Xenopus tropicalis: one gene and its partners. The protein of the gene in region 2 purifies or fractionates together with the protein of the main gene of each other region. This does not show direct contact. Links are inferred from orthologs where the notes say so. Each region holds a gene or a part of one and is shown on either strand. Other genes may lie near its edges. The genes, in order: hnrnpr, ilf2, stau1 and hnrnpu.

Region 1 (6,070 bases), on a different chromosome or scaffold from region 2:
ATAAATGATTATTTATTTTAATTGAAAGACCAAGCAGTTTATAAATTCAACTTGATTCCAAACAAAAAATGAATGCACTGATGAAACCTAAATGTATTTTCTTATTTTTTTGCATTTTGACTTCAACTGCATAATTACTCATTTACCAACTCAGTGGGACATTACCTTTCAAACAAGAATCTCTCAAACTGAAAGATCCTTAAATATGTAATGATTTTTTTCCAGTCACCTGTCTATCTAGATCATTAGGAAGTCTTGAAAGAACCAAGTGCTGGAGGAAACTAACAATCACGAAAAAAAAAAAGTAAAAAATATATTGCATGTGAAAATTGCTTTAGAAGATGGATACAATTAATTTCCACAAGGATCATGGAGTGCACTTTAAGACACAGAAGTAGATTGGATTAGTCACAATTCAAATTTCACTTTAATGCTGTATAAACAATTTAATCTTCAATTTCATCTTTAATGAAATGAGTTTTGAAACACATTTTGGTCAACAAAAATCCTTTACTTTACAAAATTAATTGTACAGCTGAAATTTGGAGGAAGATTCTTGATGTAGATGCTGACACCAATGGTAATAGAAATCCACGGTCAGTAAAGTACTGAGATCTTTGAACTGACATGTTTCCTCTGCTCAGACCTGTTTGAAATATGAATTGAATTTCCATACATATAATACAGTCAGAAATATATTCTAAACACTGCTGTAAATGAGTGATCAAATAGATTTAGAAATCATGAAGTTTTCTCCACCACTCCCTACAAAAGGCTTGTTTCAGGAAGCGGTCAGGCAAATCCATTCAAAAACACAATTAATGTATAAAATATCTAAACACAGGCTTTAAAATTAATTTTTGTATTTTGTCACCATAAAGTTTTAATGGATGGCAAACCTCTTCACAAAATCAAACTGGTAAACAAGTTCAATTTCACACAAGGCTCATTTTGCCTGAAGCAAATGATTTGTATGCAGTTGTTAAAAACATTAAAATGATTAGCTTTAGCTTTTTGCCCCCTGGAGCACAGAAGAAATTAGTCACGAAAATTTTAAAACGACAAATAGTTATTTATTGGCACTTGACATTTTAGGATTTGCTTTTTCCTATTTTTAATACTAGAATGGACACTAGAATCCAGAATCTAGTTGTGACATTTAGAGCAATGACATTCATTTGTCATCCAAGGGAGTTAAGTCTTTCCTGCAGCAAAAAAAAATGTCTGACAATACCCTGTAATGCAGAAGAATGGGGACCACTGTAAGTATATTTTGCAAGCAAAAACTCAGCTTAATCATGGCTTAATAAACATATGTAAAGTGTTTTACAAGGTATTTCCGGACGCTTTATCAACCACAGGAGGAGACACCCTTCTGTGGGCAACAAGCCACTATTGTTGCCTTAAGAATTAAATCCTGGTAATTTTGATCAAATTTTCTTCATGTTAATAGCTAAGAAAATGGTCATCTGCCAAAATCTTAGTATGTGATCATTATATAACAAACAAGGCAATGCTATGAAGATAGGGTGGCAAATAAAATATCCAAAGAAAAAAAGACGTTAGAACCAAACAAAAGGGGGGAAAGCAATCTTTCCATAAAAATGCTGGAAAGAAAAACAACTTTACTTATAGGTGTTAGAATTTTGTAGCAGAGAGTACGATTATATGTACCCTAAAAACTACTACTATTGAAGGTAGCTGAGCACTGTTGGAAACAGGCAGTCTAATGTGTTACTGGATGTAAGTGTGGAGAGATCATCTATATTCTGTAAGCCACACCTTGATACCTTACAATAACTGCTCTACCAGCCTCGCTGATGCATATTGACAGCAAAAGTAACCATATTTTGGTTTTTTAGTGGATACTAGTATACAAACCTTAAGAGGGTTTTATGAGCCAGTTTGTTTTTAACAGAAATTATCAAGAAATGTAGAATTTTTGTCTTCTAAAGTCTGTATATAGTGTAGTCTGGTCTTCTAGACCATTAAAACCATTATTTGTTTTGTGGGTGTGCACAGGGAAAATTCAAAACAGAAAAATTATCAGATTAATCAAACATAAATTACTGGAAAAGCCCATTCTCAATCAATATGTAGATTGAGGTCATATGCATATATGTATATAAAATGTATACAATTTCATCTTTTGCCTTCAAACCACCTAAGAAAATGCACATCAAGATCAAGATAATTTGGCAACCAAGTGTATTTAATTGATTTTACAAATTATTAATTTAAAACCCACTTTCATAGCTTTATATCATGGATTAAGTTTGTAGTTTACAGATTTGATCACTCACATATGCAGTTCAGTCTTTTGGAAGTTTTTGTTGCAAGAATCACAACTCAGTTTTTGCATTTTTGTTTTTTTTGTTTTTTAATGATTCTTTTAACTTCATATATATGTATATTTAGAATTTTTTTGCAATAGGATTTTGTGGAGTTTTATTGAAATTGTACATGAACAATAAATTTGTAAATACAGTCACAGAACAAACGGTCAAGGCTTTTGTTACCCAAGCCAAACTTGTTAGGCATATTTTTTGCCTTCATAAAAAAAAATTAAATAAACACAACTTCACCTAGTTCTAGGAATCCAAAATGCACAGTCATTTAATACATGAATCTTTAAAATATTTTTTTAATTTTTTTTTTTTTTTTTTTTTACTTAAGACAGCACTAGTGTTATATACAGCTTAATCCTGTAGAAGATACTCCAAATCCAAGGGGAAATTGTCAATACTGCATCCTGTCAAAATCATGATTGAACATTGTCCAACAGCATTAAAACCCCTCACATAATAATAAAAAAAAAAGTTTAAAAACCACTAAAAACACTGGTAATCCTTAGTATTCTTGAACTGGGGAGGGGTTGTAACCAATTATTTTAAACAAAATGACTTAATAGCACAAAAAACATTGCAGTCCATGTATAGAAGACAATGCCACAAAGTTACTTCTCTAAATATAAGCAGACAAAAACTTTCTGCACAGGGGTGGAATGGGAAAGAAAAGCCCAAATACAGGATACATGCTCTAGTTAACTGCTGACTTATGCCCATAATACTCTCCAAATCCCCATATCCAGAACACAAGGTTCAGCAATACTTAAAATACCATAACTCTACCAGTGCATTCCATTTGAATACCAACTGTAACAGAGCAATAAAGCAAAAACTAAGGTATATACAGCTTAATGATGAAACACTGCCAATAAAATTAGAGGCAGAGTTCCCAAAGCACAAATATATATATATGAAATATATATTTAAGAGTGGGTGTATGTGTGTTTTGTCTGAAGAATATGACCTTGCCTATTTCCACTGCTGCCCATAAGTATCCTGATAAAACTCCTGGTTGTCATTACTGTAACCATAGTTACCAGTATAATCACCACCTTGCTGCAATGGCTGCTGGGCGATAGGCTGGGTCCCCCAGTTCTGTTGGTTGTTGGTCTGGCGGCGCTTTGAGTCTGGCTGGGTATAACCATCTGCCTTTCTTTTACCACCAACGTTCCCACCTCTGCTGCCACGGCTGCCCCTTGAGTTTCGCCCTCGTGGCTGTTGCTGAGCGGGTCCTCCACGTCCACCACGGGATCCGCGAGGAGGGCCCATTGGAGAACCTCTAGGGGCATAGCTGGAGCGCCCTCCACGCTGGGGAGGAACAGATCTACCTCTGGGGGGCGGTGGTCCACCCCTCCCACCTCTGCCTCCTCTTCCTCGCACAGGGTAGCCATCGTCATAGCCATAGTATGGATCATCATAACCCCCACGGTAGTCATGATAGTCGTATGCATAGTAATCATCATAGTAATCTTCATAGCCATAGTAATCTTGGGGAAAGGAATAGCCCCCTCTGCCTCCACGGCCCCTGCCCCTACCAGGAGGTGGCATTCGAGGTGGAGGGTAATAGTAATAATCGTCATACCTAATGAATGGGGGGGAAAAAAAAGTAGTATTAAAGCATTTTACAAATACATATTCATACCATTTTTAATATATTAACACATTTGAATTCTTATAAGGAGGCTGATTGAAAAAACCAAATGCTGCCTTATGCCCCAAGCAACCTGCCCAACTCAACAAGGGCCAGATGGGCTTATCGGTCATTTAACCCTTGGCCACTGAATGATTTCATCCTGGGAGTCTTGTGGTTTTCTATCCTAAATCAGATATTGTGACTAAATAAAGTCACAATCAGATATTCTTCAGGAAGGCAAAAGTTTTGACTCCATTCACAAGCCAACATGCTGCTAACTAAGCCAAATATGTCCATGTCACCCCCAATATCTGCCCAAGTACAGGCACAATAAAAATCAAAGTTAAGCCTTGGTAAATATAAGTTATAGGAGAAACAGAAAAAAACACAAAAATTAGGTTTAACTGCAGACAGATTGAAAACAATTCTACAAAAGCAAAGTAAAGGCACAAATGAAAATTACACAAGAATTTTTTAATACTGCTATTTGAAAAATCCAAACTGAAAAATTAGGCTCTAGCTTGAGTCTAACGAGATACATTGACATTTGTATTAAAATTATTACTAACAAAAACATAAAAAAAAAAAAACAACAAAAATTGGTGAACTAGCAGTTCATGCCAGCATGAATTTTATAGATTAGTTAAAACATCCAGAGCTTGACCTTTCAGTTGCTTCAGTTGACAATGTTTACTCAAAAATCTCAATATACTCACGAACTTCCCCGGGAAGCCTGACGTGCTGCTTGTCGTTCCTTCCTTTTTTTATCAGGTGGCTTAGCAAGAACTATTTCAATCTCTTCCCCCTCCAGTTCTGTTCCATTCATTTCATCCATGGCCTAAATAAGAAATTAAAAAAAAATTCAAAAAGAAAAAAGTACAAATGAATACTCAAAAGCATGTTCTAAAAGTGTATATAAACAAGAGGTTGGTGGACTAAAGAGTCTGAGGCAGATTTCTTAGCATTCTGATTTTCATAGTTTTTTTTAAACTTATTTCCACAAAACCCAGCTTTCTCAGTTCAACTGACTGGTACGAGAAGACCTCAGAATATAATTTATATGCCGAGGCACTTCCCATAATATTCAATTAAACTGAAGAAGCTCCTCATATGAGAAGTGAAATGTCTTCGGTCATTACAGCAAGTCCAGTTGCTCTAGATCAGTGATCCCCAACCAGTGGCTTGTGAGCAACATGTTGCTCTCCAAACTCCTGGATGTTGCTCCCAGTGGCCTTAAAGCAGGTGCTTATTTATGAAGTCTTGGCTCAGAGGCAAGTTTTGGTTGAATAAAAACCATTAGTACTGCTAAACAGAGTCTCCTGTAGGCTGCCAGTCCACATAGGGGCTACCAAATGGCCAATAACAGTCCTTATTTGGCACCCCCAGAAACATGTTTCATACTTGTGTTGCTCCCCAACTCTTTTTACATTTGAATGTGGCTCACGGGTAAGAAAGGTTGGGGACCCCTGCTCTAGATTTACTTATACCATGACCTAGTTGAATGAAAACCTTCATAGACTTATCTGATTGCAGATCCATTGTAACAAGCTGGTTCTTTCTGAAAGCACAGGATCAGGAATAATGAACTGAGACTACTGCCTACACAGCAGCATAACCTGGGGGGATTGGCAAGGTTACCTCTGTTGTGCCATGGCAACCAAATCAGGAACTCATTAAGCAACAGCAATTCAATTTTATACTTCAAAATAGCATTCATCTTCTCCAAACAGTCTTACCCTTACTGCAGCATCTCTTTCATCAAAGTGTACAAAGGCATAATCCTTCAGCTTTTTCACACGCTCAAGCTTTCCAAAGACAGAGAAAGCTTTTTCCAGGATCTCTTCAGTCACAGTGGAGGAAAGATTTCTTACAAATAGGACTTTGACCTGACAAAGAAACAGCAGTAATTAAGACTGGTACCCAAATTTTGTTCTCTACATTATATGCAAAATCTTGTTAGGAAGCCTACAGCCACTGCAAAGAACTTAAATCAGTGTACTAGCAAGTCTGTATAGGAGCCCTTAGACAAATGTACACTGAAGGAAGGTGAAGGTTTCAGCTTCTCTCACTAATGTAGCAAAGGAATGTT
Region 2 (5,034 bases):
CCTAGGCTCCCACTAGCAATACTTATTAACACTTACATCCCTCCGAGACCGGCCTGCTGCCAGTTTGCCAATGTGCAATGAGCGGGGGGTAGTACTCATATTGTTATTGTTGCCCCTCTTCTCCACTTACAGAGCTAGTTTACTGTTTTTTCTTTGAAATAAATACTGAATAACATATACCCCACTGATGCCTCAATTACTGTCATTGTATTGGTATTTATTGTGATTATTGAAACTTAGCAGTAGCGGCTGCATTTCCCACCCTAGGCTTATACTCGAGTCAATACGTTTTTCCAGTTTTCTTAGGTAAAATCAGGTACCTCGGCTTATATCCCCATCGGCTTATACTCGAGTATATACGGTACCTCGGCTTATATTCCCATCGGTTTATACTCGAGTATATACGGTACCTCGGCTTATATTCCCATCGGTTTATACTCGAGTATATACGGTACCTCGGCTTATATTCCCATCGGCTTATATTCGAGTATATACGGTACCTCGGCTTATATTCCCATCGGCTTATACTCGAGTATATACGGTACCTCGGCTTATATTCCCATCGGCTTATACTCGAGTATATACGGTATCTGGTTGCTAGGGTCCCAATTACCTTAGTAACCAGGGAGCTGTTTGAATGAGAGACGGGTATATGAATAGGGGAGGGGCTGAATAGAAAGATAAGGAATAAAAAGTAACAATAACAATAAAACGGGAGCCTCACAGAGCAATAGGGTTTGGCTGCCGGGGTCAGATATACTGTTGCTAGGGCTCAAATTACCTTAGCAACCAGGGAGTGATTTGAATGAGAGGCGGGTATATGAATAGGGGAGGGGCTGAATAGAAAGAGAAGGAATAAAAAGTAACAATAACAATAAAACTGGAGCCTCACAGAGCAATAGGGTTTGGCTGCCGGGGTCAGTGACCCCCATTTGAAAGCTGCAAAGAGGCAGAAGAATAATTCAAAGACCATAAGAAATAAAGACCAATTGAAAAGTTGCTTAGAATGGGCAATTCTATAACTCACTAAAGGTGACCCTCCCCTTTAAAGGGGAACTGCTACTTACCATAATCACCTAATAGGTGTGTGTGTGTCTTTAAACCTTTTTTGATGCCGATTCAGTAACAAACCCCCCCCCCCGCCGGGCTGGGCAGGAGAGCTGGCAGCCATAGGTTGGGCCAACCCTACAGGGAACAGCAGTTTCTTTCTCCACAAAAGAACAGTAATTGGCTATTGCACATCTAGGAGTAGTATCCCATAGCAATGGGTGGCAACCCATAGCAACCAATCAGTGATTTTTATTTTTTTTTTCAAACAAAATGCAACAAGCTGATCCTTTCCTTTGAGCCGCCATTTTGCGATGGGCTGTGTGCTCCCTCAGAGATCAGCTGACAGGAAGTGATGCAGCTCTAACTGTAACAGGAAGAAGTGTGGGAGCAAAAGGCAGAACTGCCCATTCATTGGCTGATCAAGAGAAGGAAGAAAAAGCTCAAAGGAGGTGTCGAAATAAAAATTTATTGCTGGCAAAAAAAAAAAAAAAATACAATGTATCCCTACAGTATAAAACAAGTCACATGACAAGCTAAGAACGAATGAAAATAAAACAGGAACTCGTGGCATTTGGTCCACAAATAGACCCAATGTGTTCGGCGCCGGCAGAGGGGGATCCAGACCAACTGAAATCTGCAAAAAAAAAGGGGGTGAGTGGCTGCCGCTGGTTCTGAGGGGCGTGGTCATGGGGAAGGGAAAGGGTTAACGTAATTTTGGGAGGAGGATCTTGAATAGGACTTTTATGATGGAGAGTTTGCAATTGGTCTTCATGTTTTATTACTAGTTTAAATGATCTGGTTGCTAGGGTCCAATTTACCTTAGTAACCAGGGAGTGGTTTGAGAGAGTTGCTAATATATGAATAGGGGAGGGGCCGAGTAGAAAGATAAGGAATTTAAAGTGAGTAAGTGTAGTTTTTTTATCTCAATATTTTTTTTAGCAGCTCTGCAGTTTAGCAGCTGTCAGGTTGCTAGGGTCCAAGTTACCTTAGTAACCAGGGAGTGGTTTGAATAAGAGACAGGAATATGAATAGGGGAGGGGCTGAATAGAAAGATAAGGAATAAAAAGTAACAATAACAATAAAACTGGAGCCTCACAGAGCAATAGGGTTTGGCTGCCGGGGTCAGTGACCCCCATTTAAAAAAAACTATAAGAAATAAATAATGAAGACCAATTGAAAAGTTGCTCAGAATTGGCCGTTCTATAACATTAAAAGTAAACTTAGTAAAGTAAAAACCAAACGGAGGAGAGCAGCTCAACAAGAAGCTAAATAACTAAAAAAAAAAAAATAATGAAGACCAATGGCAAATTCTCTCAGAATATAAATGTCTATATCATAGTAAAAGTTAATTTAAAGGGGAAGCAGCCCTTTATTCCCAGACCTACAAAAGCCAAACCAAACGCCCAGTCAGGCCTAAGCCCCTGCCCCCAACAGGCATGGCGGTAGTACATACGGGCCTGTACCTTTAAATAAGTATCACTCCTGTGTCTCCATGCTCTCCTCCTCTTCCGCCCCCTCTGGGATATCCTGGTTCTCATCCTCCTCTCCCTCCTTCCTCTCGGGGGGCTTCTCATAGGCCTTCTCTGAAGGGGTCACGATGACTCCGTCCCAGGTAGACATTTCCGTGGCAAGAGCTGAAGGGAACAAAGAGATTGGTCAGTAAGGAGGGGCTGTTCCAGGAAGGGAGTTGCCCCAATGGGGGGGGGGGGGGGGGGTATATCCGGTGCCCTTACCGCTGGCATCTCCCTCCAGGCCCAATATCTTCCGGAAGCCCCCGTGGGAGAGAATACGGACCAACGTCTGGGCAGTGTAGCAAACCATGTCCTGGGGAAGGGAGAAGGGACTGGGTTAGAAACAGGGAAAGGGGGGGGGGGTATTCCCAAACATGCCTGTACTTGCCCCTTCCCTGCATTGCACTCTAATTCTAAAGCTACACAACCTTATGGTCAGCTGACCCTAAAAAATATTATTCACATTAAAGGACAAGTCAACCCAAAATATAATATAAAACATAAATCTAAGGAACTTTGCAATATACATTCATTACAAATCTGCAACGGTTTCTGACTTATTTGTATGTATATATCTATCTCTAATCCATCTATATCTATATATCTATCTATAATATCCATCTTTAATATCCATCTATAATATCCATCTATAATATCCATCTATAATATCCATCTATAATATCCATCTATAATATCCATCTATCTATAATATCCATCTATCTATCTATAATATCTATCTATCTATAATATCTATCTATCTATCATATCTATCTATCTATCATATCTATCATATCTATCTATCTGTCATATCTATCTATCTATCTATCTATCTTTCATATCTATCTATCTATCATATCTATCTATCTATCTCTATCTATCATATCTATCTATCTCTAATATCTATCTCTATCTATCTATAATATCTATCTATCCATCCAGCTATCTCTATCTCTAATATCTATCTATCTCTATAATATATATCTATATCAATAATTGCTACTAGAAGCAGTGTTTGTCCCTTTCCTATTCCCCCTATCGGACTGAAACAATACAACACAAGGCAGCAGCCTGACAGACCCGACTCGCTGGGGGAGACGGACCTTTGCAACATTGTTCAGCAAATGCTGCTTTCAATAGCAATTACACAAGAACCTTTAAAAGCACTAAAAAGTTTCAATAAATTCACATTAGAAAGTTGATTGGAATCAACTTATTGCTGGGGTTGACTTGTCCTTTAAAGTTTTCGTCTGACATTGACGTTAATATTCCAATTGGTTGACTTTTTTTTTTTTTAAAGTGGGTTTTCAGCTTTTTGTTCGGCAGCCCTCCAGTTTGCAATTTAAGCATCTACCTGGTTGCTGGGGTCTTGTTTACCATAGCAACTAGGCAGTGGTTTAATCGAGAGAATAAGGAGTGGGACTGAATGGAAAGGTAATGAGTAAAAAAGTTCACAGAGCGATTGTTGATTTGACTACACTGACCCCGGCAGCCAAAAAAACTATCAAAAATAATGAAGACCAATTGCAAAGTTGCTAAGAATAGGCCATTCTGTAATATACTAAAACTTAACCCCTTTCACTTGTGCGCATAGGAACAGGCTAGGAGAGTTCTTGCTGCTAGTATAGGGTTCTACATAGCCCTCAGCGGGTACCCACAGGGGTCCCAATCATACTGGCAGGTAGGTGCCCAGCCCCCTACAATGGGTCCCAGGGGCAGAAGTAACCCTTTACCTGCTGCTCCAGAGTCATGACTGTATGAACCCTAAAGTTGCCACTTTCACAGGGGTCAGTGATGCCAACTGAGCCGGGGAGGAAAAGGCCGGCGGCGAGCATCTGTAGGCAGCGTCTGAAAGGGAATCATTAACCAGTAAATAAACCCAATAGGGCTGTTCTGCCCCCAATAAGGGGTAATTATATCTTAGTTGGGATCAAGTACAGGTATTGTTTTATTATTACAGAGAAAAGGGAATCATTTAACCATTAAATAAACCCAATAGGGCTGTTCTGCCCCAATAAGGGGTAATTATATCTTAGTTGGGATCAAGTACAGGTATTGTTTTATTATTACAGAGAAAAGGGAATCATTTAACCATTAAATAAACCCAATAGGGCTGTTCTGCCCCAATAAGGGGTAATTATATCTTAGTTGGGATCAAGTACAGGTACTGTTTTATTATTACAGAGAAAAGGGAATCATTTAACCATTAAATAAACCCAATAGGGCTGTTCTGCCCCAATAAGGGGTAATTATATCTTAGTTGGGATCAAGTACAGGTACTGTTTTATTATTACAGAGAAAAGGGAATCATTTAACCATTAAATAAACCCAATAGGGCTGTTCTGCCCCAATAAGGGGTAATTATATCTTAGTTGGGATCAAGTACAGGTACGGTTTTATTATTACAGAGAAAAAGGAAACCATTTTTAAAAATGTGAATTATTTGATTAAAATGGAGATGGGAGATGACCTTTCC
Region 3 (3,999 bases), on a different chromosome or scaffold from region 2:
GTGTAGGATTTCTGTCTAACAAACCCAAATGCACCATTACTTTACAACCAATTAGCAATCAGCTTACTCCAAGTTAGAAAGTGAAAGCAGGGATCTGATTGGTTATTGGTGGTTGTACTCGCAAGCCTCTGTCATGAAATCCGCTACCATGGTTTCACGTATACTTTTTGGAAACGTTTCCCTGCCCTGCTGCCATATTTATATCAAATTTTGCCCTCTTCCACCGCTGCTGGGAGAAACAGCCATCTGGTTTCTAGGGTCAACAACCCCCAGCAACTATAAAACTCATAAGTTGTCTTTGCTAATTTTTTTTTTTTTGTTAAATTAAATTACGATTATTCAGACACGGTTTTGTCTGAGGGGGTCAGTGAGTTGATTTCCAAAATTCATAAAAATAGGGAAGATTGCAAACTAAAACTAAACTGTACCGTGAATTTCCCCTTTTTTATATTAACAACAAAAAAAAAAAGATACATTTGGGAGCAAGGGTTCTGCCTATGTAGCCATAAGCACAGCGGCACTGCGAGTTGCTGCAATGGGAAACACTGTGCAAGCGGTGACGAGAGGTCCCCTTACCCAATGTTTAAAAAGCAAGGGGAAGTTTGCAATTATCCAATTGCTTTTTTTTATATATGTTGCCTTTTTGCTTAAGGATAGAAAATGTAAATACTTTCCAATACACATGAAACACCAAGCTTCAGTTGTTCTGAAGTTCTCTAAATATAGGTGCTAGTGAAAGCAGTGTGTGTCTGGCTGTTTATATTCTCTGCTCGGCTGATTCTGACTTTTGACCCAGACCAGCTGAGAAGAACTTCTGCTACAGTGCAGAATGGGACAGAGAAATGCATTATTAGCAATTACATTTGCAAAGAACTTGACAATGGTTTTAAAGAATGTATATTGGAAAGTGGCTTAGAATGGCATTTTTGTTAATTAAGCAAATTGTGCATTGTGTCATTTTGGGTTCATATCCCCTATAAGTCTGGGTAAAGCAGTAGAAGGGCACCCATAGGGCAGAACTACACAGGAGCTTGTCCTCGCGCTGACAGATCACTGTGTGTTTGTATGAGGTGGTTCTACTTTGCCTTTAATATGGTAATTGCTGTGCATGTAGCGTATAATGTAACGCACCACCTCAGGGAAATGTGTGCAGTGGGTGTCGGAAATGGGGAGCACAGAACCGGACACACTCACTAGGTGAGACGCACTATAAAGTGGGGTATTTGGAATAGGGGTGCAAAGAGTTTACTAAATATGGAGGCGCATTACACAGGTATGTTGGTTCAGAGGGCACACTGGATAGGTACAGAGGGGGGCAGCAGCTTTAATGGCACAGTGGGTATGTAGAGAGCAGGAGGCACACAGGGTATGGACAGTACGGGGGGCACAATAAATATGTATGAAGGGAAAAAGCTCATGGGTACGAATACTGTAATAATGCACAGACAGGGGCGGCATCTAAAAAGCATATTGGAACTGTATAACAAGAGACACTGCAGATGGAGGATGTGGGTGCAGGGAGCACAATGGGAGCAAGAACATTGAGAGGGTCTATAGAGGGGCCACTGGGGAAGGATGTGAGGGCAGGGGTGCACTAGGTACAAAGGGCCCAGTGTGCAGGGGTTTGGGCGCTGAGGGCGCAGTGGGCAGGGGTTTGGGCGCTGAGGGCGCAGTGGGCAGGGGTTTGGGCGCTGAGGGCGCGGGTTTGGGTGCTGAGGGCGCAGTGGGCAGGGGTTTGGGCGCTGAGGGCGCAGTGGGCAGGGGTTTGGGCGCAGTGGGCAGGGGTTTGGGCGCTGAGGGCGCAGTGGGCAGGGGTTTGGGCGCTGAGGGCGCAGTGGGCAGGGGTTTGGGCGCTGAGGGCGCAGTGGGCAGGGGTTTGGGCGCTGAGGGCGCAGTGGGCAGGGGTTTGGGCGCTGAGGGCGCAGTGGGCAGGGGTTTGGGCGCTGAGGGCGCAGTGGGCAGGGGTTTGGGCGCTGAGGGCGCAGTGGGCAGGGGTTTGGGCGCTGAGGGCGCAGTGGGCAGGGGTTTGGGCGCTGAGGGCGCAGTGGGCAGGGGTTTGGGCGCTGATGGCGCGGTGGGCAGGGGTTTGGGCGCTGAGGGCACAGTGGGTAGGGGTTTGGGCGCTGAGGGCGCAGTGGGTAGGGGTTTGGGCGCTGAGGGCCCAGTGGGCAGGGGTTTGGGCGCTGAGGGCGCAGTGGGCAGGGGTTTGAGCGCTGAGGGCGCAGTGGGCAGGGGTTTGGGCGCTGAGGGCGCAGTGGGCAGGGGTTTGGGCGCTGAGGGCGCAGTGGGCAGGGGTTTGGGCACTGAGGGCACAGTGGGCAGGGGTTTGGGCGCTGAGGGCACAGTGGGCAGGGATTTGGGCTCAGTGGGCATAGTGAGCAGGTGTATGGGTGCAAAGGGCACAATGGGCAGGAATATGGGTGGAGGGTGAGACAGAGACTGGGGTGGGTACAGAAGAAGTATCCAAGTCGGGGACCAACAATTTCCCAGACGCCCCAGCGCTTTGCAAAGTCCCTGCCCAGTAGGCGCTCCCTCCCCCCTGCCAGTGGGCCTGCTCCCACCCAGCCCCGCTCCCACCCAGCCCCGCTGGCTCACCTTCTCTCTGTCTTCGTCCCTGCTGTGTGCCCGGGAGTGGAAGGGAAGGCGCTCACACCCTAGTCCATGTAGTGAAGCGGGGGCTCGGTACCAGGAGACCGGCGGAAAGAGGAAGGGGGGAGACTCGGACACGGCAAACACTAAAGAGAATGGAGAGCCGGAGATTCCGGAAGTGACGTCACCAGCCGGGCGGAATGGTTTAGGGGCGGGGAATGAAGGAAAGGCGGGGCTATAGTACCGGCTGGTGTGTGTCTGCTTGGCGGAGTGTTTGTGAGATGCGGCAATGGGAATAGGCTTGCGGGGATTAATCGGGTTTAATCGGGTTTAATCATGCTGATTACACTACTGGCACCCCCCCGGGGCTGAGTATCTGTAGTATTTCCCTCTGACATGGCTATGGCTGGGAATCTTACAATCAATGGAGCTGAGAAAGGTGCAAGGTGTGCGCTGGGTCCCACTTGTACCAACCAATCAAAAATGACCTTTTACTTGCCTCCTGTAAAAGCAAACCTTATTGGTTGTTATTGGTTACGGTACCCGGGCGGACTTTGTGCCTTTCCTTGCATGTGAGAGAATGTGTGAAACTTTACTCAGTGGGGGGCTATAGAGAAAATGCCTCCTATTCACAGGGGTTGGGGGACACCTGCTTGGAACTGTGAGAGACCTAGGAGCGATCCTCCAGCTGAGGCTTGCCCAGGCTGCAACTAGCCAAAGGCTTTCACATCAACAAGCACAGGGTTAACTCTGAATGAGCCAATCACCAAGCCCCTGGGCTTCCCATAGATATTTGGGTGGAATTCCAGAGTCCCTTTATGATGCCCTTCCCAAAGGTCCATCTCTCTCTTGTCCTATAATTGCTCCCCAAATCCCCTCATTCTTCAGCCCCAGAAATACCTAGCCCAGGTAAGGAGGACTCTGCAAATGGCTGCATGCTCTTAGGCTGATGCCACACGTGGCGTTTTTACGCTGCGTATTTTCTAATTCTCTCGGCGGCTGAAAAACGCACGATATCATCATCCGTAGAAATAACTTAAACAGTCTCGATGGAAACCACACTATGCGTAAATACCATACAAAACGCCTTAGCACGGATTTTTCAAGCGTTGGCCGAAATACGCCAGTATTTGCACAGCAAGCTATTCCTATGTATACACAAAGGCAGCTGCCAGACCTAGCGGAAATAGGCGGCGTTTTTACTATTTCGCACTATTAGCACCATGGAAACGGGATTTGCTGCGTCACCAGTACTAGGCTGAAAAACGCCATAGTCAGGGGCTGTGTGGCGTTTTTAGGCGGAGAAAATACGCAGCGTAAAAACGCCACTTCTGGCATTAGCCTTAGGGGTAAATGAGCAGCAACACAGCTTCCTGAGCACCCTTGTGACTTGGGCTGTAGAGTTCAGAC
Region 4 (5,394 bases), on a different chromosome or scaffold from region 2:
AATCCCAAACACAAGCATGTATTTCACGTTTATTTATTGCAAATAAAGGTCTGCATATGATTCTTCAGCTCACCCTCAATAGAGGTTAGCAGGTGAGAGATAACCATTAAAGAACTGACATGATTCAAAAGAAATGCTGAATATTAAACGACTCACAATTTCATTAGTTTACAAAGTTGGTGCAACTACAAGCACACTAGGCAAATAAAGAGGGATGGGGGAAGTGGAGATACAAACACACAGCTAACTTCATATAGATCCCATTGGACAACTAGATTTACAACAAGTTTAGTTTAATAAGAAATAGGCAATACGCCTTTTCTTCGAATCAAAATGCATAACAAACGGAGTAAATGGTGTTGAACCTTCACAAGTCAAAGTCTCTGCGGTTTCCACAGAAAGCAAAATACATTGAACAGCTTTAACATACTACACCCTATGGTTCATGTGAAAGTTTCATAAAGCATTCCTCCAATGCTACAAGCTAGCCTGAAACTCTTAAAATGCCTTATTTATTCCCTATGTGGAGGGTAGAGAGGAAACGGGTTTTTACAAAGTTCCAATCTGTCAACAAGGGCCACTTAGCATGCCAACATTTCAACTGTTGTGTGACAGGATATCCCAGCTAAAAAGCCCCTGGACACTTATGGCATTGCAGTCCTTAATAAAACACACCAGTTACAAAGCAACATCTTTACTTTTGTTATGGTAATAAAAAAGGAAAAAAAAAGTCACATTACAGATAAAAATGAAGAACCCTGAAATACTGACACATTCTTATCGTGCACAATGCTAAGGTTCTTATTCATCGCTTTAAAACTGCAATTAAAATGTACAAAAAAAAAAAATTCAACCCAGAAAGCAACTAAACAAAATAAATGGGAATAACCCAAACAAAAGTAATAAAGAACCCGCAGGCACTTCCTCTTGTGGAATGTTTGTTTTTTGTTTAAAAGTTAGCCTAAAGAAAAACAGTCGACTTCTTGTGAAGGTTTTGAAGAGAAATATGTATCAGTTCATTTTTATTTGGGTATTCAATAATATCCTTGGTGGTACTGCTGGCTCCATGGCTTTTGACCCCAGTATTGCTGCAATTAGAAAAAGGGGTAAATATTAACATGTTAACAAGCTTTTAAGCTTATTTGCCAACAAGAACTGCTTAGGTCATGTGTAACATTTGATTAAGTTTCATCCCACTACTTTAACCTAGGAGCCCAATCCAGACTTAATTCCAAGAAGTTCAAGTAGTAATAAAATTGATCCTATGTAACTTACGGCAAAAGATTTTATAGGAATATGGCCAAAGCTGGAGGCAAATGTCTGTGTGTTAGAGTAGCTCAGTGAAATAAAAAAAAATTAAAAAAAAATATAGGGTGCAAAAAGGGAAAAAAAGTTTGCAAGTCATTAAGCAATTTCAGTGAGAGATACTTACACCCTGCTGCTGCCACTGGTTGTAACCCTGAGACTGATTTTTGAAGCCACGATTATTTCCCCTTCCTCTGAAGTTCTGCAGAGAAAATTCTAGGTCAATAAACTGCAATGCAGAGTTTCTCAATTAAGATATTTAGCAACCAAATTCCCCCCTTGTTTCCTAAAACATGGCACAAAGAAAGATGGGAGGGGACAATTAAAACTTAATATAAAGTTTTACCTGGTTGTAGTTGCCACGGCTGGGCATTCCACCGCCCCCGCCACGGTTGAAGTTTCCACGGTTACCATAGCCACCTCTGTTAGGATAGACTGGTGCACGGGGGTATGGATACCCAACGGCACCACCGCCTCCACCACCACGCTGGGGCATATTTCCTCTTCGGTTGTATCCTCCACGGTTTCCTGGAGCTACAAGATAGTTAGTTATTAAATTTATGCCTAATGGTTTAAAATTTAGCGGTGAGCACAACTTTTCCCTTTTTTGTTAGTTTGCACAGAAGCAGTGGTAAGCGTCATGTTGTAACCCCCACCCTTTCCAGCTACAGTCAGGTGATCCCAATGAGCCAATAAAAGGGCAACCATTTGGGTGTTTTAATGAATCAGATAAAAGCAAGTGTAGGACTGCCCAGACCATGGATGACCGACATAGTTGGCCAGCTGGATGTATATTGCAGTATATGGACAAACAATCCCTGTTGCTTAAAGGGGAGGGCATCTCTCTCTCAAGAGGACCTCTTGTTGTGGTCACAGCTTCACTGAACCCCTGCCTAAATATTTAAGGTGGTTTTGACAAAGGTCAATGAACAAATTCTGAAACTAAGTCATCTTTGATATGTTTGCCTCAGCCCTCTTTACTAAATGTATACAATATTCTGTACAACTACATGGTGCAAACATACCTCCACCCCTGAAATTTCCTCCACGCATATTGTATCCTCCACCTCCCCGGCCTCTGTGTCCATGACCGTGAGACATACCACCTCTGCCTTTGGTATTTTTGTTCTTGTTTGGTTTCTTTGCTCCAATGTTTTGTTTTTTCTCTGGTGGAAGGGACGTCTTACTCTCCTCCTTATACTGCTCAATAAGTTTATCAGCATCTTCCTTTTGCAACTCCACATAACTGATTTCATCAAAGCACTCACTTGCTTCTGGAAGAGTAAAGTTACCTGAGAGGGAAAAAAAAAAATGTGCTCTATCAGGGGCCATCATATTAGCACCATATCAGAATGGTTGTTACAAAGTAAAGTAGAAATTAGAGACCAATAACAAGTTTGTGTCAGATCATAGCATAGAAGCCATAAGCTCTGAAAAACTGCCTTGCGAAGAGGCTCAATGGCGATCAAGAACATGGAAATCTACTTACCTTTCATTTTGAGAACTGCATGTTCTGGAAGATCTTTGCCTTCCACCTCAGATTTTTTCTGTGTTCTCTCTTTATATAACTCGTCTGTTGGGCAAACAACAACTGCTTTGCGTTGGAAGCCAGCAAACAAGCACATTTTCCTTCTCTGTGCAGCTACTGACACATTTGTCTGCAAAAGAGAAAAGAAATGTCAAACAAAAAAATGTTAACTTTAGGAAGGCAAAGCTGGAACACTTTGCACCACTCAACACAAGAAACAAATCAGTTTGATAGTGTATGTACACACACACTACAGCTTAAACCTGATGAAAGGCAGAGGGGCCTTGTATGATTACAAATAGATTTTGCTGTTCTGGTTATTATTAGAAAACTATTAAGGCACCTTAGTAGCCTTATGGCAGGGTGCTCCATTTTGTATAAAGACTCCCTGGTGCTAAGTATTTTGTACAATATATTCCACACCTGTACTTAAAATACTGCATTTAAAGGTTAGAAAGCTCAAGGTGTCTTAATTACTATAGCTTATATTTCAGTTATAAGTTTTATACAAAGTGAGGTAAAATGGACTTATTTCTATTGAAAAAAAAAAAGCCCTGTATGCTGAAAGCAAGGTTTGTTATTGTATTAATAATTATCATATTAACATGTGAAATTATGGATCACTTTAAAGAATTGTTTGCCTTTAAAATATTTTCACTCCCACTGTTTTCTAATAGATCAGAAATAACTTGACATTCTAATACTAAAATTTAAAGTTTCATTTTTCACCTTTTGAATAATTCCTTTACTTATGCAAAAACTTCAGATTTTTTTTAAATTGTTACAATATGCTACATTAGTTAATAACATTTCTAATTACCAACCTCAATTACTGAGGTTCTTCTGAGAAAAGGTTAACTTGTATTTTACTTCTATAGACTATGGTAAGTTTTCTGAAATTTTTACTAGCCAACGGTAAATATACAATTTATTTATATTTAAAAGCATACATGACTAAAATTAATTATATTTTTTATTTAACAAAATATAGAAGACAGCAGGTTTCTAAACAAAGTTTAACAATTGCCTGAAAGCAGAAAACACTGCCGGTCAAGGTATGTCTCTCTAAGGCCCTGTATAAAAATGGCAATATAAATAATATATATATATATATATATATAAAAAAAAAACTTACCTGATCCAAGATAAAATGCCTTTTTTTGCGAGCAGCAATCTCAATAAATTTGCTTAGGCACTGTGGGGCCCTCTGCAGCAAAGCATTTAACTTTCCAGTGTCAGACATTTGCTTTTTGCAGCCAACCTACAAAGAAAAGGGTTTTAAAGTAAAAATGTCAAGAAAAAAAAAAAAAAAAAAAGGTTAACATACCAAAATTATATATTAGGATTCTTACCGTCATCTTTTCCATAATAGTGTTCGTTCCAAGTATGTTGTATTTGCCAGGGTTTTGTTCAGTATGATTAGTTACCCATGTTGTTTTTCCAGCACCTGGCAAGCCAATCATCATTATAACCTTTAAAAAAAAAAAAAACATATTTGCTCTGAATGTAATAAATGTATTTGTATTCTTAATTCTAAAAAAAAGAGCACATATTAAGCATTATGACACGAATAACCATATCACTATACCACACATAAAAACACAAGATAAATTAACCAACAAGAGTTCCAATGAAGTTTAACAGTAACTGTCCTTGGCAAGCGTGTGTATCACTTATCTTCAACCTAGTAAAGATTTTATTATCCAGTATTTAAATAGCACCAACATGATCAGTGTTAATCATGAGCAATTAACCTGCCTGTATGAGTGTGGAAGAAATCCCACACAGAAACAGAGAACATGCAAACATGCCAAGGCCAGATGAACTCAGCACTAGCACAAGGCAGAAGTGCTTGGACACCCTTCTGCCTAATTTGCTTTGAGGAGCACTACAGAGCAGTGATCTTAGAGTATCTGCAACAATAAGCACTGGCTAAATGTCTTTCCAGTTCTCCCACCTATAGTTTACACCCAAAACCAGACAACATGAATTGAAAGATGCAAAAAGAGGGAGAAGAAAAAAAAACTGTTCTCTTCAGTTTACTTTCAAATATACTTACTTCACAATCCTGCTTTTGTTCTGGCCCCAGAGGTGCTCTGACTCTGTCCTCTAAAGGAACGTTCTGAATTAATGTATAGCCTTCAGGGATAGAAAAAAATGGTTCTGCCATTTGCCCAAAGTTGAATTCTACGGCACAGTTGTGGCAGAGAATGTGTGGGAAGAGAGCCTGCTCCAATATGGTATCTTTGTTAATCTTAAAAGCAACTCCAAGGTCTTGGCCATTTTTTGCATAAGAAAGTTCTATTTCATCTTCTTCAAAATTCTGCAACAGAAAAAAACCAGTGAAGATCAAAATTAGTGTCCCCACTTTTAAATGCTAACCCAATCAAAAGCAAGATATTTCATTATACTTTGCCAAATTTAAAAGAACTCCAACTGTAGCACACAAGATGTTTTAATGGGAATTAAACATGAATTACTCACAGCACAGCAAGTGATCACATCATTCTCATCATATTTCTCTCCATAATCCTCAGCAACACCATTGCAACATTTTGCTG

Evidence for each region.
Region 1: the proteins of ilf2 (region 2) and hnrnpr purify together in Homo sapiens (affinity purification with mass spectrometry; 3 studies listed by BioGRID and IntAct, counting the BioPlex papers as one, with this or other methods). This does not show direct contact. The link is inferred for Xenopus tropicalis from reciprocal best matches to the Homo sapiens genes ILF2 and HNRNPR.
Region 3: the proteins of ilf2 (region 2) and stau1 purify together in Homo sapiens (affinity purification with mass spectrometry; 3 studies listed by BioGRID). This does not show direct contact. The link is inferred for Xenopus tropicalis from reciprocal best matches to the Homo sapiens genes ILF2 and STAU1.
Region 4: the proteins of ilf2 (region 2) and hnrnpu fractionate together in Homo sapiens (co-fractionation; 3 studies listed by BioGRID and IntAct, with this or other methods). This does not show direct contact. The link is inferred for Xenopus tropicalis from reciprocal best matches to the Homo sapiens genes ILF2 and HNRNPU.

The regions. Positions count from the first base shown.
Region 1 is NC_030678.2:82,753,901-82,759,970, forward strand, and holds the end of hnrnpr (heterogeneous nuclear ribonucleoprotein R), read right to left. Parts: intron 5,868-6,070; coding exon 5,718-5,867; intron 4,820-5,717; coding exon 4,698-4,819; intron 3,931-4,697; coding exon 3,318-3,930; 3' UTR 1,449-3,317; downstream 1-1,448. UniProt on the Homo sapiens protein: Component of ribonucleosomes, which are complexes of at least 20 other different heterogeneous nuclear ribonucleoproteins (hnRNP). hnRNP play an important role in processing of precursor mRNA in the nucleus.
Region 2 is NC_030684.2:144,167,047-144,172,080, reverse strand, and holds the end of ilf2 (interleukin enhancer-binding factor 2 homolog), read right to left. Parts: intron 4,407-5,034; coding exon 4,292-4,406; intron 2,875-4,291; coding exon 2,784-2,874; intron 2,685-2,783; coding exon 2,527-2,684; 3' UTR 2,514-2,526; intron 1,685-2,513; 3' UTR 1,501-1,684; downstream 1-1,500. UniProt on the Homo sapiens protein: Chromatin-interacting protein that forms a stable heterodimer with interleukin enhancer-binding factor 3/ILF3 and plays a role in several biological processes including transcription, innate immunity or cell growth.
Region 3 is NC_030686.2:38,141,424-38,145,422, reverse strand, and holds the start of stau1 (double-stranded RNA-binding protein Staufen homolog 1), read right to left. Parts: upstream 2,801-3,999; 5' UTR 2,596-2,800; intron 1-2,595. UniProt on the Homo sapiens protein: Binds double-stranded RNA (regardless of the sequence) and tubulin.
Region 4 is NC_030681.2:44,495,627-44,501,020, forward strand, and holds the end of hnrnpu (heterogeneous nuclear ribonucleoprotein U), read right to left. Parts: coding exon 5,318-5,394; intron 5,157-5,317; coding exon 4,893-5,156; intron 4,306-4,892; coding exon 4,186-4,305; intron 4,095-4,185; coding exon 3,969-4,094; intron 2,964-3,968; coding exon 2,795-2,963; intron 2,598-2,794; coding exon 2,331-2,597; intron 1,840-2,330; coding exon 1,652-1,839; intron 1,508-1,651; coding exon 1,433-1,507; intron 1,089-1,432; coding exon 1,035-1,088; 3' UTR 277-1,034; downstream 1-276. UniProt on the Homo sapiens protein: DNA- and RNA-binding protein involved in several cellular processes such as nuclear chromatin organization, telomere-length regulation, transcription, mRNA alternative splicing and stability, Xist-mediated transcriptional silencing and mitotic cell progression.